Drosophila melanogaster: one gene and its partners. The protein of the gene in region 2 interacts with the protein of the main gene of each other region in a pairwise test. Each region holds a gene or a part of one and is shown on either strand. Other genes may lie near its edges. The genes, in order: TwdlL, CG17219, CG7139 and TwdlB.

The links.
Region 1: the proteins of CG17219 (region 2) and TwdlL interact in a two-hybrid assay, tested with the Drosophila melanogaster proteins (one large-scale study listed by BioGRID).
Region 3: the proteins of CG17219 (region 2) and CG7139 interact in a two-hybrid assay, tested with the Drosophila melanogaster proteins (one large-scale study listed by BioGRID).
Region 4: the proteins of CG17219 (region 2) and TwdlB interact in a two-hybrid assay, tested with the Drosophila melanogaster proteins (one large-scale study listed by BioGRID).

What each region holds. Positions count from the first base shown.
Region 1 is NT_033777.3:26,624,087-26,627,595, forward strand, and holds TwdlL (TweedleL), read right to left. Parts: upstream 1,567-3,509; 5' UTR 1,517-1,566; coding exon 1,502-1,516; exon of another isoform or gene 1,438-1,501; coding exon 595-1,437; 3' UTR 501-594; downstream 1-500. Other genes in the region: TwdlO (TweedleO), read right to left, coding at 1,922-2,611.
Region 2 is NT_033779.5:3,027,659-3,031,166, reverse strand, and holds CG17219 (uncharacterized protein), read right to left. Parts: upstream 1,915-3,508; 5' UTR 1,869-1,914; intron 1,810-1,868; 5' UTR 1,748-1,809; coding exon 1,235-1,747; intron 1,183-1,234; coding exon 772-1,182; 3' UTR 551-771; downstream 1-550. Other genes in the region: GABPI (beta4GalNAcTB pilot), read right to left, coding at 1-167, 220-407; Sf3b2 (splicing factor 3b subunit 2), read left to right, coding at 2,080-2,103, 2,161-2,801, 2,859-3,508.
Region 3 is NT_037436.4:22,066,739-22,073,824, forward strand, and holds CG7139 (uncharacterized protein), read right to left. Parts: upstream 5,111-7,086; 5' UTR 4,914-5,110; intron 4,818-4,913; 5' UTR 4,789-4,817; coding exon 4,030-4,788; intron 3,425-4,029; coding exon 2,638-3,424; intron 2,458-2,637; coding exon 1,167-2,457; intron 1,110-1,166; coding exon 1,037-1,109; 3' UTR 532-1,036; downstream 1-531. Other genes in the region: CG7133 (uncharacterized protein), read right to left, coding at 6,537-7,086.
Region 4 is NT_033777.3:26,621,890-26,625,058, forward strand, and holds TwdlB (TweedleB), read right to left. Parts: upstream 1,655-3,169; 5' UTR 1,608-1,654; coding exon 1,593-1,607; intron 1,525-1,592; coding exon 679-1,524; 3' UTR 562-678; downstream 1-561. Other genes in the region: TwdlL (TweedleL), read right to left, coding at 2,792-3,169.

The DNA of each region.
Region 1 (3,509 bases), on a different chromosome or scaffold from region 2:
CCCCAGTTCATTGATTCTTTATTTTCGCATATATTACTAATGAAATAAAAAATTTAACTTGAGAGTGGTGAAAACGATATGTTTATATTTAATTTAACTTTTTTGTCGTAAAAACATTTTGCCTACATTTAAAATATGCGGAAATATTTTATTTTATTCTTTTCCCAGTACTTCGTAGGATAATATTTTGGTTATGACAAATATTAAACGTCAAGGTCATCGGGAAGCTGCCTTGGGTAATATAGCTTACCAAATTCTTAATGAGTTTTAAAGGTCTTTTGCTTTGTATTAAGTTAATAGCGTTGCACCTTTTTAAGAATAAATTCAAATTAAAAGTCATTACCAAACTTTTTGTGCAATAAAAACAGGTCGAAAAATCTCACCAAAGACTGAAATAATTTTCTAAAAGCCCAACTTGTAACTCCACTCATGTTGTCATCGGAAGGTATACACTATTGTTTACTACACCACCATCCAATATAAAATATCATAGAATGTTTGTATTCAGATTTTTGTATATTATTTATCAATAGATTTCAACAATAAGATTTAACAAGAACAGTCAACGCCTTCATCTCGAAGTCGTTAAAATATTTACAAACGACGACGGAAGATGGAAGTGGGCAGGTAAGCGTTCTCAGGGATCTGAGCATTAGCCTTCTGGACGGGACCAGCGGAGGCGAAGTTCAGGGCGGGTGCCACACCACCGTTGTGGGCCTGAGAGGATCCTCCCAATTGGTCGTACTGCGACTGGATGGCGCGCTGGGCGTTGGCAGCATCCTCGGGAGTGCGGTACTTGACGAAGTGCACCTCGGGCTTGTTGTTATTGTTGTTGCGGATGGCGTTCAGTTTCTGGGCAAGATCTCCAATATCGGCCTGCTTGTTCAGGACATAGATGGCGGTCTCCTGCTGGGCAGCCTGCTTGGCGAGGGCTAGGGCAGCGTTCTCCAGACCACGGTTCTCGGGTCCCTTGATGAAGACAACGCGCAGTCCCTTGTTTACGGATCCAGCAACACGCTCCAGTTCTTGTGGCTCATCGAAGTCCTGCTCGTTGGCGGAGTAGGTGAAGAACTCCTTCTGGAGCTCAGCAGCGGGAGCGGGGGCGTTGTAGGAGACTGGAGCGGCCAGAGCGTCGCCACCTCCTAGACCACCGAGTCCACCAAGACCGCCAAGACCGGAATCAATAGAGCCACCACCGATGGAACCACCAAGGGAACCACCTCCAATGGAACCGCCTCCGATAGAGCCACCACCAATGAGGCCTCCTCCAATGGATCCTCCTCCAATGGAGCCTCCTCCAATCGAACCACCTCCAATGGATCCACCTCCAATGCTGCCACTTCCAGGAGCAAAGGACAGTCCGGAGCTGGAGTGTCCCACGGGCTGGTAGTTGTAGCCGAGCTTATCGGCGCAGGCGACTGCCACCAGGCACATTACCTACAGGATTCAAGGGTTATCCGTTAGTTGTGAATTCGTCTTAAGTCCTGGCTACACCACTTACGATGAAGGCGCGCATCTTTAGTTTTGGGTTTGAGGTTCTCTTGGTTCGGAGCACAAATTGCTTCTGCCTATGACCACGGCGGCGGTAACTATATATACTAACCCAACTTCGAAGCTGGCGGCGCAGTTTTTCGAAGACAAAGCGCTGATGCTGCTAAATGTTTTGTCCGCCTACAAAGTAGGCAGCGAACGGCTTTTGTTCGGGCTCGCAGAGCAATTCAGCTTTGCATAAATGTTATTATAAGGAAAAGCTATTAAAAAACAAACAAATTGCAATGGCCGATGACAAAGTCAGAAACTTCGAAGATCTAGATTAAAAATAGATATATAAATCTAAGCGTATTTGTTTTTATCGATTTTCGTTTTTTATTCAATTACATTTATACAACACATTTAACAACTGTCGGTTTTCGTTCGGTCCTTAACGGATGCGCAGGCGACGCAGGATGTTGGCGGGCAGGTAGGAGTTGCTCGTGGCGGCGGCTGGTGGGGAGTAGTTGGGGCCACGACGAGCGGGAACCACGGGGGCAGCGGAGGCGAAGTTGATGGCGTTGGCAACTCCTCCGTTGATGGACTGGCTGGATCCTCCCAGGTTATCGTACTGCGACTGGATGGCACGCTGGGCATTGGCCGCATCCTCGGGAGTCCTGTACTTGACGAAGTGCACCTCAGGACGCTGGTTGGAGTTCTGGCGGGCGGCATTGAATTTCTGGGCCAGATCTCCAATGTCGGTCTGCTTGTTCAAGACATAGATGGCGGTCCTCTGCTCGGCAGCCTGCTTGGCGAGGGCCAGAGCAGCGTTCTCCAGGCCACGGTTTTCGGGTCCCTTGATGAAGACCACGCGGAGTCCCTTGTTCACGGAGCCGGCGATCTTCTGGGCGGCCAGAGGATCCTCGAACTGGCTCTCGTCAGCCTCGAAGGTGTAGTACTCCTTGTTCAGTTCGCTGGAGACCGAGTAGTCCGGGCTGCTGGCAGCACCATCGTAGGAGTCGCCAACACTGCTTCCGGAGTAACTGGGAACATTATCGGAGGCGGCTCCGGTAAATCCCGCTCCGTAGTTGTACTGGGCGCATGCGGCACCAATCAGGCAGAAAGCGATGAGGAAACGCATGGTGAAGGTTTGGTTTTGTAGGCTGGGTGTGCTTAACAGGCAAAGGCCAAGACTGAATCCTGAGACTGAGGTGAGCAGCTTATATACCCATCTGGCGTAGTTAGAACCGACTTAGAACTATAACCGACACCATTCCCGTCGGGTTGCTACATAACTCAACTAGTTTTTTATGCAAAGCGGTGCGCTTATGAAATGATTATGCAAACTATCCTAAAATTCTCGCCAATACATCCAGTCGGCGACCCCCGACTTTCTGCCCAATTGCAAAAGCCAAATTCTCGACCGGTTCATGGCGCCGCGATTTATTCTTGACCGGGGCAAAACTGCCCGGAATTCGATTGGGGAAAATGCTGCAAAACTATCAAACCCGTTTCCAAAAAAAAAGTCAGAGCCCGTCCAAAAATGTTCTGATGGTCATTAAAGTCGAACACAATGTGATGCATTCTTTGAGTTCCGCCTACGAAACGATAAAATCTTAATCTATGCGAACTCCATTGATAGTTAATGGTTTGTTGTTGCTTTCTGTTTGTCGCCTTTTTTGCTATCGAAAGTGGGTCTAGAATTTGAAGTGACTTTTTAGTTTGAGGTTCAAAGTCAAAAAGAATGTCGGAAGCTTGCTTTGAACTCTGGGCAAACCTGTTTTAAATAGTCTGGGAATTCCATACAAGTCCCGTATATAAGAGCCAGAATATTTGCGTCCAGTCAGTTTAAAATCTCATTTAAACGGAGAAGAAGAACGTACAAGCAATCAAACAATATGAAAAATGCTGTGTTTGGATAGAAGGATATCATCATCAAAAGTTCTGCTGATACTTTTCTGTAATCCATACAAAATAATCGTTTGATAGTGTTTTGTCATCTTAAGCTAAGCGAATGAAAGTGAAGGGTTTTAACGTTA
Region 2 (3,508 bases):
AGTTCAGAGTGGCCAATCCCAGCATGAGGGGGACAATGAAGGCGGGAGCAACGGCTGCGGGCGAGATTCGCTTGGCTCCTCCGCGCCATGGCAAGCGCAGTCTATCCTGGAAGGCGATGAGCATGCCGTCGATGTTCCTTCGATCAATGGCTCGGCAGGTGACAAGTCTGTGGTAAATTTAATTTTAATTGTAGACGGCCTTTCATTTATGTATCCTACCTTGTGCAAACTAAGTCGAAGTCCACGCAGTTACAACAGCATCCTAGGATGTGGGATCGCTCTCGACTGTCCTCAGCCACGTACTCGCAGCAGCAGAGACTCCCGTTCTCCTTACTCTTGGACTCCTCAGCCTCTGATCTCCAGGCTGCAGAAAGAAAATTGGAGGTGCCGGCTGTCATCAAGAACATCGATTTGGACAGGAAATGGCGCGGCGAACGTTTTTTAATGAGTTCCGAGCAGCGTGTACGGAAACAGTTTAGATTAGATTAGTGCACGCCCTACTGGCCGAGTGGAGAAATGTTTCAAAAGTAATTATCAGATCCGGGTGGGTCCATTTTAATTGTTTTATTGGAGTACAACGAATTTGCTTACAATTTCTCCGGAATAACGACAACTACAACAACACAGCTGACGAACGTCCCTCCCTTACAGGGTGCCCCGTGTAAAGTGGGCTGCCAACTTGTTTTATGCTACCGCTATGTTTTGAACTTAGATCTCTTATCATTATTACAAAGTTTAAGAATTGTGTTATAAATAATTCCAAAATATATTTTATTTAAATTTCAATTGCAAGATTCCTCTTTTTAAGTTTTCGTCTGCCTGCCAAACACTCTCACTTTGGAAAACATTTCCCAGCCTAATGTTCTCTGAAAACTGTTCCAGGCCGCCACCAACTCCAAAATAATGAGATTTTGCGGCAACCAAAATGACTCCATCGGATTTTAAGCGACCAGCAAAGGTATCCAAGAGCTTTTGCTGATTTGCAATATTGTATATAGTCTCAGAGGTAAGTATTAGATCGTATTTCGCCACATCCCTTGATAGTTCAGCAAAATGAGACCAATCTCCAGAATATAAGGTTGTACTGTTGTCTAAAAATTTCAGCTTTTCATCTTCAGATAAAGAGTCGTCCAAATTTAGCAGGATATTTGGATATGTTATGTATTCCAGCACATCTTTGTTCTGAAAATATATGATTGCAACCAAACTATTTCAAGACTTATTGTTTGCTTACGTAGTCCTGAAAATCCACCCGTGCGCCGTGTTTCATAGCATATATACCCAGCAATCCGCAGCCACATCCCAAATCTAGGACTCTTTTCTCCTTCCAGAATGAGTCCTCGTACTTTTCGGATAGATATAGTAGAAGATCTTCAGTGCATTCCCATATTTTAGCACCGCCCTCGTAGACACCGGAAATCAGATCTGAATGATTTTCCTCAGACTTCCTGAGATCCAGGTTTACCAAGTGGGATTGCTCCTTTAAATCCTCCAGCAGAAACCCGGCCACAAGATGTTTTATCGTCATCTTTCCCACCTCCATTTCCTTGGCGTTAAGCTCATAGAAATCCATTGCCGAAATTAGGTTATCCAGTGGTTGTACTTTCTCCGAATTGTACCAATCTATATCCTTTGTGATACCCGACTCACGTTCTTCTGAATTTTCCTGCTTGCTAAAAATATCATTTTTAACGGCCTCTGGATCTTCCGAGGATTCCGCCTTCACATCAAAATTAAATTTGAACATGCTTAGAAGGTAGGGTGTTGAACTGTTTTGATTTTAGCAGATACTGCTTGTTAAATATCGTACTGAAATGGACAAATTAGCATTGTTAAACTGGTAATCTATGAAATATTTTAATATTTACCTCCTTAAATCAGCTGTCGGCAAAAACCACGCTTTTCGTACTAAGATCGCCCTGTCCTTTGCGTTGCCAGCTTGATTTAGGGTCTCGCATTTTCATATCGAATATATCGATATGTCTCGGTGGTACAAAAATATCTTGTCGCGCATCACTAGAATTGTGGTTTATAAAAAAATTTCGGCTCGGTTTGGGTTTTTAAAGATTAATTTAATTTATGGCGGACCAGTTGAACAACGAGGTGAGTTTGCTGCGAAACCCAATCGGCAAGACATCTATTGAATGCCAATCCTTCCAGCCCGGCCAACCCACGCCGCTCATGTCCATTCGCTTCGACCAGCAGCAGCACGAAAGTGCGGCGGCCAATGGAAATGAGAACGGCAATGGTAATGCCAATGGCGACGGCGATGCCTCCGAAGATGCTGTTGATGCCGAAAAAACGCCCGGAGAACTGGTCCTGCCCAAGGCCTTGGAGGACGTTCTGGCTTTGAAGGATCAAAGGGCAGCCGAGTTCACGGTGGACGCCGATTCGCAGGGTGGCAGTGGGGGTGCTACCCAGGACGGCGACGAAGCGGATGTGGGCGAGGACAGCGAGGAGGATGCGGATAACCAGGTGAACGGGAGTGCCAGCCAAAAGACCGGCAAGCAGAGCAAGGCGGAGCGTAACAAAAAGAAGAAGAAGCGAAAGAAGCAGAACAGGAAGATACGCCACCAGATTGAGTTCGCACGGCAGCAGCAGTTGGCCCAAGCGGAGGAGAACGAACCGGAGGCCAAGGACTCGGAGACAAAAGCCCATGGCAGCGAGGACGAACAGGTTGCCGAAAAGGAAAAGAAGGACAAACGCAAAGAGAGTCGCAGCAAGCGCAGGAAGGATCGTAGTGATGAGAAAGATACGGACAAAAAGGCTGGCGAGGCCAATGATGAAAATGTGACCATTGAGTAAGTCATAGCAGCTCGTTCCGAGGAACCACACTAATAAACTCTTATCCCTTTCAGATATGTGCCCGAAAAGATAACCATTGCCGATTTGGCGCCAATGTACCGCCAGTTTTATCGTGTGTTCGAAATCTTCAAGCTGGAAAACAAACCAAAGCCTGTGGAGAAGGACAAATCTTCGCACGATTCTGAGTCCCATCCCAGGGACAAAAAGGCTACAGACAAACAGCTCGAGGACGAGGACGATGACGGCGATGATGACGAAGAGCGCAAGGAAGACAAGGAGAAGCTGTCCAAGCGGAAACTTAAGAAACTGACCCGTTTGAGTGTGGCAGAACTGAAACAACTGGTCTCTCGACCTGACGTAGTGGAGATGCACGATGTCACAGCGAGAGATCCCAAACTACTGGTTCAACTGAAAGCCTATAGGAACACAGTACAAGTGCCGCGGCATTGGTGCTTCAAGCGAAAATATCTGCAGGGCAAAAGGGGTATTGAGAAGCCTCCGTTCGATCTCCCCGCCTTCATCAAAAAGACGGGCATCATGGAGATGCGCGAATCGTTGCAGGAACGAGAGGACGCCAAGACACTCAAGGCCAAGATGCGTGAACGCGTCCGTCCCAAGATGGGCAAAATTGACATTGACTACCAGAAACTTCACGATGCCTTCTTCAAGTGGCAGACCAAGCCCCGCATGACCATTCATGGCG
Region 3 (7,086 bases), on a different chromosome or scaffold from region 2:
AACCAAAGCCATGGAGCCCTCGCTCAGACTGCCATCGATGTTCTAGAATAAGTTACCATTTACCTGAATGTATTGTTCACACCCAGCGGTCAGCAGGTGTACACCCAGATGTGTATCCTCGGCTGATCCTTCAGTTTACCTAAGCTTCGTGTCACGCGTTTTCCGATGTCAGGCTAAAAGATTTTGTAGTGGTAAATAAAGATTGTCGTCTTTCCATGTTTCAAACATTAAACCAAGGTTATGCTCTTCCCTGCCGGGCAGATGGTCCAGGTAGGCAGAAGGAAGGTTTATATTGCTCATAGAACAGACTGATCAGCGGTACCTAGAACTAAACCAACCACTATTGTAAACACTGGAAAGTTCGATGGCTAATTGACGGATCTAGGCATACATTGCTACTACGTAATTTGTAGTACAAATTGATTTTCGAAGCCAGTATGTTTACAACATATTGTAGAATGTTCGATGTAACAGTTTGAAAAATAAAATATCGTACTACGATGTTCGTTTAAAAACTTGTCTGAATAATATCCTTCTCACGTTTCGATTTATTTATAAAGAAAATGTCAATATTTGCTTATTAATCTGAAATGTAATGGTAATTTTTGGACCTCGTGTACCTTAGGACTACTATTTTTACACTAATCCTATTGTACCTAGGTAGTACATTGAGTAAACTAGTATAAAAATAAGTAATTCTGTGATTAGGTATATTATTGGAAGATACTAAATCACTACTTTCCTGAGTCGCATTGCGAATTCGCGTCGTACACAAACTCTACGCTGGAAGCATTATTCAAACTTAAAAATAATTGGGACGAGCATTGAAAGTAATATAGAGTAATAAAATCGGGAATGTTTCATAGGTTATAGAACACATTCGAAAGTAAAACAGCGACCAGGACAGGGGAAAATGATTACTTAACTTTACAATTTTGTAGGCAATTACAAAAGTTAAATAACACTTGCTTTTTTTCTATATGGCAGTGTGAAACGCATTTTGTCCAGCAAGTCCTGTCGTGCGATTCGCATCCAATCAGAAGTTCTTTGAATGACGCGATGCTGAAAACACCTTGACGCGCAGCAACCCTGGATTAACTTCTTGCCATCTGAAATAGGTTGGTGAATAATTAGACGACTTTTAACGAAATATGCCCCTTACTAACCGCAAACGGCGTTCGCCCAGCCTGGCCTTCACCCTGTTCTTAATGGTGGACACTCCGTTTGCGCTGTGAAGACCACGGCCCGTGATAATGAATACGTGCTTGTACACGCGGGTGGTGTTGCGCAGCACAGTTATGTGGCGGTCAAGGAACAAGTCCAGGCAACTGATCGCCTCTACCGTGTGTAGGTAATGCAGGTCTAGCAGGTCCGGGTTGTTCTGGGTGTGCCGATGCACCTCCATTATGCAATTGGCCGCCCTCTGGTTGAATACGTCGATCTTCTGCTTGTGTAACTTGGCTATCTCCGAGTAGTATAACGCCACGCTACTATTGCCGCGCTGTACCGCCTGTTTGGCCTTTAGATAGCACTCTGCTTTAAGTTGGGAGTGATGGGCGGCCATGTTTCGCGTCTCTTCAAAGTCGCGAAGAGCGGCGCACTTGACCTCCTCTTGCAGTTGGGGCGACCGGCCAGAGGCGTACGAACTGGAGCTGGAGCGCTGGCCTTGGCCGGAGGAGTTATGTTGCTTTTGTTGCTGCTGCTGCCGCCGCTCTTCCAGCGCCATTTGCTCACTAAGCTTTTCGCCCTCGCGAAGGGCCTTATCATAGAGTTCCGCTTTGCTCAGCATACTCTTAACGTTGCTGTCCAAGACCTCGACTGTTTGAACGTAATTGCTGCCGGTTGCGGCAAAGACCTCAAGCACAGTGTCGGTAGGAACGTCCGGGAACGTCTCGCACAGCTTCATCTTGGTTAGGTGGGTAGCTATATCGGTGGGCGTTTGTTTGCGAGCGGTCAACTCGGCTGCCTTCTTGGCGGCCAGCTGCTCGCTATTGTATATGCTCCAGGCCAACTCCATATCCAAAAGCTCAGCCACGTTGCTCGGAGACTCGCTGCAATCGGCGTAACCTGGATGCTTGAGCAGGCGGGCGAACTGCTCGTCATCGCGCATTGTCTGCTGGCGTATCTCCTCTAGCTGGTTAAACACAGCTTCCATCCATAACATGTAAAGCTGCTTGGCTAGCTGACGCGGCATAAATATTTTTGTTGCGGTGGGAAGCTCCTGTTCCGGCGGCAACAACTCGTCCTCCGTGTGGAACTGAGCGCGCAGCTGCTCAATTAAAGTGCCGCCCAAATCAATTTCCAGCAGAGTATTTTCTTCAGGGTCCTCCTCCTCCTCCTGCTCTTCAAGCTCTGGTTCCTCGGGTGCTTCCAGTAGCTTAGGCACTGTAGGTTGATCCAGGATTCCATTGCGAATATCGCGAATTTTACGGGTGTGCTCCGAGTATTGTTCGTCGCCTAAAAATCAATAATCATTAGTTATTATTAGTTATTTAATATTAGTTAGCATCAGATATCGAACTCGAATCTCTAACATAATATAATGGAAATACATTAAATTCATTAGTGCCGTGAGTGTTAACGCAATATAAATAATAAGTTTATTTTTAATTGACTCCTATTAGAACAATATCTTACCTAACACAAAGCAATTCTGGATTTTCAGTTGCAACTCTTTGTTGGTGGGGGCCGATGCTCGTTTGTTGCGCGGTTGACGTTGCGGCTTGGATTCGGTCTTCGATACTGGTAAAGTTGGTGAGGCGCAGATGGGAGTTGAAATCGGAGATTCCTGGGCTTCAACCGCCTTGTCGCAGTCGCATTGAAACTGCGCCGCCTCCTCGCTATCGATAGTTTCTTCAAATCCGATTTGATCCGAACCAGTGGCCGCGTTGAGCTCGTCCTCCTTTAATAGAATATCAACGGCCCAATCCACGTCGGCCTGGCACTTTACAAACAGATCCCAGAGGCCGGCCAGCTGTTTGTTGGGATACATCTGGCGCAGGTGTGCAAACCCTTTCGGTTCATTTGGGCAGTCTAGGCTGTGCATCTCAAGAGGCTTTGCCCCGCTAGACTCCGCTTTCGACGGCACCACCTTTATTTGGTTCTCTTCGCGGAGCAGATCAATAATAGACAATTCGCTCTTTACGGGAGCTGCGGCACCCAAAGCATCCGGAATTTCCGGAACTGTCGCGTCGCCTGTGTCTACTGAGTTCACTGTTTGCGACCAGTATGAAGGCGCTCCGTGCTCGTAGGGCACCCACGTTTGGGCATTAGCATTCAGCTTAAAGGCATTTTCCGCTGGCGCTGGGACTGGGGCTTCCAGCAGCTTGCTCTCTTCAAAGCTCGTGATGATAGGCACGGCAGGAAGGGGCGGGTGATTGCGTAGTTGCGGCAGCTCCACAGAATACTTTGTCTCCTTCATTAACTGTCGCATAAAATATTCCGGTAGAGGATGTGAAAGATACAAACTATAGTAAGTGCCATTACTTAATAAGCTTCGGGGTAGAAAATAAAATACAACCAAGAACGTAATATACCAAAAATTTACCAATAAAAAATGAAAACGAGCTAGTTGCCTCAAATTGTATGTGTATGTGGCTAGACTGCCACATTCCGATCCTCGGATATTCGATACCCGTCTTCTCTCAGCTACAAAAAAGCGACTGTTTCTCAGATTGCCAGCGACTTTCTGACTGACCATGGTATGCCCTAAAAAATTAAGTAGCCAACAAAAAAGGCCTCTACTATGTTTCTGCAGGTGGTCTGAATGTTTTTCGCAATTCAAAGGAAGTTCGCCGGAAAAATAATGAAATGCAAAGAAGCAAAATTGAATTGGTCAGTGATAATGATTAAGAATAAATATATACCTCTTAAAGATTTTTTATCGAGCTTAGTTAAACGTTTTACACTCGCGTAACGGGTATACAATTACACATTTTTGGCTGACTCACAATGAGATTGCAGTTAACAATAAATCTCTATCTTTATATACATATGTATGTATATAGACGATTTAAAGTGCCTTCTTACCTGAATGAGCTCTCCCGCAGTCGTCCGCTCGAATCGCTCTAGCATGCGCTGAATATTCTCCCGTGGGACGTTGTGGACGTTTTTCTGGGCCAGTTTGCTGGCAGACTTGCACCAACTAGTATTGGGCTCGAGAAGCTCAATTACGTAACCGTGGCGCACGGCGAACTGGACATATGGCTGCATCTCCCAGACCATTGTATTGGTGTTATCCACGATGATGGGGCTCCAGCCGGAGGCGGCCTTATCGCGCACTCGCTGCTGGTTCCACTCGTGGGCAGCTGGCAGCAGAGTGGGGTTGAAGACATAGCCGCGGCGCGTCTTGAAGTAGTCGTCTGAGCTCAGGACAAAGTCGCGCACCTGGTGTCGATCGAGTAGATGCGCCTGGCGCAGCAGAGACTCTGCCAGTGTACTCTTACCGCTGCCTGAAGGGCCGCGCATTATGATCATCAGCTTATGGCCCGCCTGCGCCCGCTGGCAAATCGAGTTAAATTGTTTGTTGCTTTGGTTGCTGTTCAGATTGCTGGCGGGGCACATTCTAATGGAGCTTGGGGCTTCAGCAGTTGCATATTTCCTGTGAGTTCCACCGCTCTTGCTGCGACCGCAATTGTTATTGTCATTATTATTATTGTTGTTGTTGTTGTTGTTATTATTATTATTATTATTCTTATTATTATTATTGTTGTTGTTGATGTTGATGCGGTCCAACAAAAGCGCCAAATCCGCTGGTTCAGCTGAATGCGAGCTTCGCTCTGTCGACATGGCGTTTGTTTTCCTTTTGCTAGCTTGCCCTGTGAAAGCAGATCGTTTAGGGGGGATCGACCAACGTAATGCGCAGTAACCACAGACACCCCATCACCCAATTCGCATCTGAATCTCGGACTCACCAATATCTGACCAGACTGTAATCCCCCGATGTCGTAACTGCGCGTTGATGTCTCAATCTCTCTCATTCAATCGGTTGTCATGCAAGGATCAACCTGCGGGCTGCAACTTCGTTTGCTTGTTTCCAGAAATCGGGAAGCTATGCGTCGCATTACATCCGTTAATTCGCTGCATTGCAAGTTGGGAAAACCACGTCTGTGCGGAGGCTATCGATGGAGGAGGCTATGGTCACGCGTCATCGATAAGCAGCAGTGCTGGCGGCCAGCTTTTTTCAAGCCAAGCTATTGCTTCGGAATAAAATCGCTAAGTTTTTGGATTTTTTTTTTTAATACTATGAAAACATTATGTTAAGCACATAAATAAGATTCTTAATATGATTATGATAAATGTTATAAAATAACATGAAATTATAACGTCGTTATCACGTCCGTCCGTACGAAATCCAATATCTCGGGAACTTTGAGAGCTGTTAATTGGGTACTAAACACCCGAATTCTAGTTTCGCTTACGCAGCAAAATATAGTTTTTCTTCCGATAACATAGAAATGGAATTGTGAACAGAAGAAGAGAAGGGAGAATGCTATAGTCGAGTTACCCGACTATAAGATACTCAGTTAGTAGTGTGCGAATTTCATAATTTTTCTGGAATATCGATCGATATTGAGGAAATGTGTGTTATCTTTGTATGGAAAAACATCGATAAATAAATCGTGTTATCTGTATATTATTTCGCACCAAGGACATATTGTTGTTTAAAGAAAATAAATACGTCTTTCGTTTCTACATTTGCCATCATATTTTATTGAGATACCATTTACTCAGTTAGTAGTGTGCAAATTTCATTAATTTTAAGAACATTTTTTAAAATTGTTTAAAAGTGGGAATGTTTTGGGCGTTTTGCTGGTGTAAAGAGGGACGTGGCAAAAGTGTTTTTGATACAGATGGAAATTGACAAGACACACAATAAAACGAAAAAATTAAAATATAATGTATATAATAATATAATATATATAATAATATGTATAATATATATATATGTATATATATATAATATAAAAATAATAAAATATAATATAATAAAATATAATTATAATAGACAAATAAAAAATGAAAAAAATATCTTAACAATTTGGACAGTTTTGGGCGGCTTGTGGGCGTTTATTGGGCGTGTTAACATGGGTCAACAAACTTGCGCTGCGTCTATGTCTCTATAATCGCTATAATTATTCTTAACATTCTAGCTTTCAAAGTTCCTGACTGGACAGGGCACATATTCAAAAATAAGTGGAATAAATAGTCGATACCGAAAAGGGACATGGAAAAATATCTGTATTTCATATTTCGCACTGCTATTTCATTGAACACAGCTGTATATACATAACCAAATCCGATGCAGAGTATGAAAACAATATTTTAGTCCGAAGGTATAAAAATTTTATTTATTTGAATTTTTTTTTGTGTGTATGCCATATCGTATTCGATTCTATTTTAACCCTATTTCTTTAATGCTTCTTGATTAAAAAAAGCAAAACATGTTTCAGGATATACCTTTAGATTGAGGCGGAGCTGCTCTGTCTGAGTTGCCTTCTACGCGTTTTTAGCGGAGTCACCAGATATGGAATTTTTCAATTTTTCAAGCTTCCTTTAAAAGATTGTAGTCTTTGGAGGCGTCTAAAGGTGGGACTAATAAAGCGCCCGGCCAAAGCGCGCAAATACGAAGATATTTTGGAGCATGCATACATCAAGGCAGCAAGGGTATTTTTTGCTGCAGATGACCAAACTGGTCTGGAGTTATGAACCAAACCAGCAATGGTTGCTGGTGTTGCCTTCCCCCATTTCGGTGTAGTTGCCCAATTTAGAAGAGAGCGCAGATATGAAACCGCTGAGGACCAAACTGTTTTCAAAGCTGAATATGGTCCAGCTCGTGATCCCTGGGAAAGTGTTTTAGCGACTGTTTCCGTAGCAGAATTCACTGAAGCTTTGCTTGGTAGGGATTTCACAGCCACGTTCGCAGCCGATGCTAAGGACGAACTGGAAGTTGCAGAAGAACCTACGGCTCTTTGGCCTCGGATTACTGTTTTGGCCACGACTTTGGCAGCCGAAGAAAAGGGCGCGTTCAGAGTCCTAGGAGAAACTCGAGTATTTGCCCATGGCGCCAGTTTGCCGAGTCCCAGT
Region 4 (3,169 bases), on a different chromosome or scaffold from region 2:
AGACTTTGTTTTTATGGCTAATCAGGTTTCGATTGGGCATAAATCTTCATTGCCTTCGTATGTGGGTTGCACTTGAGATTCCTTTCTAATTGTACGTGACACACGACGGGCCTCGGAAACCAGGTCATCTAACAGTTGTTGGCATCTTCGCGACCTTGAGCTGTCGTCGGGAAAGAACCAGTTCCTCGTTGGCCGGGAGTCCGGTATTAATGCTTCCCGCTGGCCAAGTGGGTGGATCTAATCTTGTAGTCAATTAATTTGGCGGCATGCGAGTTGGCTATGTCAGATAATTAGTCCATTGATTTGTATGGAAAGTCTAGGTGAATATGATTCGACGAGGGCTTAAACTCATAAAGGAAACCTGCTCCGAACTGCCTTTCCTGATCTTGATGTCGTCAATTCGAGATATTTATAGTTTGAAGGGCACTTTTTATACTTAACCCATCCGCAAACAATCAAGCCAAACAAGGCGGACTTAATGCACCATTAGCTACTATGGCCAAGCCGCAATAAAAATCTCACTCTATAAAACACATAAGGTAGACCTTTGTTTAAATTTTCGTATTTAAATTTCAAATTTATTGGTGTAATTATGCATTAGTCAACAACGTGTAACAGGAAGAATGAGTTCTTCAGTCGAGATTTGCTTAAGTTAATGGAGTCCAAGATGTAGCCTTCCTAGAAACGCAGACGACGGAACACAGAAGTGGGCAGGTAGGCGTTGTCGGGGATCTGGGCGTTAGCCTTCTGGACGGGTCCAGCGGAGGCGAAGTTCAGGGCGGGTGCAACACCACCATCATGAGCCTGAGAGGATCCTCCCAGCTGGTCGTACTGACCCTGGATGGCGCGCTGGGCGTTGGCAGCATCCTCGGGAGTGCGGTACTTGACGAAGTGCACCTCGGGCTTGTTGTTGTTGTTGTTGCGGATGGCGTTCAGTTTCTGGGCAAGATCTCCAATATCAGCCTGCTTGTTCAGGACATAGATGGCGGTCTCCTGCTGGGCAGCCTGCTTGGCGAGGGCCAGGGCAGCGTTCTCCAGACCACGGTTCTCGGGTCCCTTGATGAAGACAACGCGCAGTCCCTTGTTTACGGATCCAGCAACACGCTCCAGTTCTTGTGGCTCATCGAAGTCCTGCTCGTTGGCGGAGTAGGTGAAGAATTCCTTCTGGAGCTCAGCAGCGGGAGCGGGGGCGTTGTAGGAGACTGGAGCGGCCAGAGCGTCGCCACCTCCTAGACCACCGAGTCCACCAAGACCGCCAAGACCGGAATCGATGGAGCCACCACCGATGGAACCACCAAGGGATCCACCTCCGATGCTTCCTCCTCCGATAGAGCCACCACCAATGAGGCCTCCTCCAATAGAGCCTCCTCCAATAGAACCTCCTCCGATGGAGCCTCCTCCAATAGATCCACCACTGATAGAGCCGCTGCCAGGAGCGAAGGACAGTCCGGAGCTGGAGTGGCCAACGGGCTGGTAGTTGTAGCCGAGCTTATCGGCGCAGGTGACTGCCACCAAACACAGGACCTGGAGGCATGAAAAGAGAAGTGTTATCCTGGCGTATAATCCTTTGAATCCTTAACCGCGCTACTTACAATGAATGCGCGCATCTTAAGCAGATTGCTGGTTCTTTTGCTTTGAGGTATGAGTTGCTTGTGTCTCTGGCTAGGAGCGATCTTTATTATTTATACAAATCCATCTTGGAGGCTGATAAAGACAAAGATACCGCCGCGGCGTCTGCTGCACGGAGATTTCTTTGAAGCCACTGTGTTTTGCCGCCTACAAAGGTTTTTGCTTCCTCTGTTTTTTTTAATGTTCGGTGTGGAATTTTTTGGTTGCGTTTCAATGGGCAGAGTCTGGCCGTCGTGGGTTATTCAAATATTTCGAGTTTCGTCCAATAGTTTACAAGAATTCATATTGAATTATAAAATTAATATGTCGCGAGCACGTCGGAATGAGTTTAACATGCAGATGGGTCATAATTAGGTACGAGTATTATATAAAATACATTTTTTTGACAAATTCTTCGGCAAGGCTAAAAGCTTGTTTTATGTAGGACATCTGCACTTGGTTTTTCCGACTGAATGACAATCGTTTAGTCATTATAATCGTTTTCGACACATCTGTTTAGTTCTGATTTATGGACATGATGCAAGCGCTAAATTTAGCAAGTCGTCTAATGAGATGTTTGAAATGCCGCCCCCAGTTCATTGATTCTTTATTTTCGCATATATTACTAATGAAATAAAAAATTTAACTTGAGAGTGGTGAAAACGATATGTTTATATTTAATTTAACTTTTTTGTCGTAAAAACATTTTGCCTACATTTAAAATATGCGGAAATATTTTATTTTATTCTTTTCCCAGTACTTCGTAGGATAATATTTTGGTTATGACAAATATTAAACGTCAAGGTCATCGGGAAGCTGCCTTGGGTAATATAGCTTACCAAATTCTTAATGAGTTTTAAAGGTCTTTTGCTTTGTATTAAGTTAATAGCGTTGCACCTTTTTAAGAATAAATTCAAATTAAAAGTCATTACCAAACTTTTTGTGCAATAAAAACAGGTCGAAAAATCTCACCAAAGACTGAAATAATTTTCTAAAAGCCCAACTTGTAACTCCACTCATGTTGTCATCGGAAGGTATACACTATTGTTTACTACACCACCATCCAATATAAAATATCATAGAATGTTTGTATTCAGATTTTTGTATATTATTTATCAATAGATTTCAACAATAAGATTTAACAAGAACAGTCAACGCCTTCATCTCGAAGTCGTTAAAATATTTACAAACGACGACGGAAGATGGAAGTGGGCAGGTAAGCGTTCTCAGGGATCTGAGCATTAGCCTTCTGGACGGGACCAGCGGAGGCGAAGTTCAGGGCGGGTGCCACACCACCGTTGTGGGCCTGAGAGGATCCTCCCAATTGGTCGTACTGCGACTGGATGGCGCGCTGGGCGTTGGCAGCATCCTCGGGAGTGCGGTACTTGACGAAGTGCACCTCGGGCTTGTTGTTATTGTTGTTGCGGATGGCGTTCAGTTTCTGGGCAAGATCTCCAATATCGGCCTGCTTGTTCAGGACATAGATGGCGGTCTCCTGCTGGGCAGCCTGCTTGGCGAGGGCTAGGGCAGCGTTCTCCAGACCACGGTTCTCGGGTCCCTT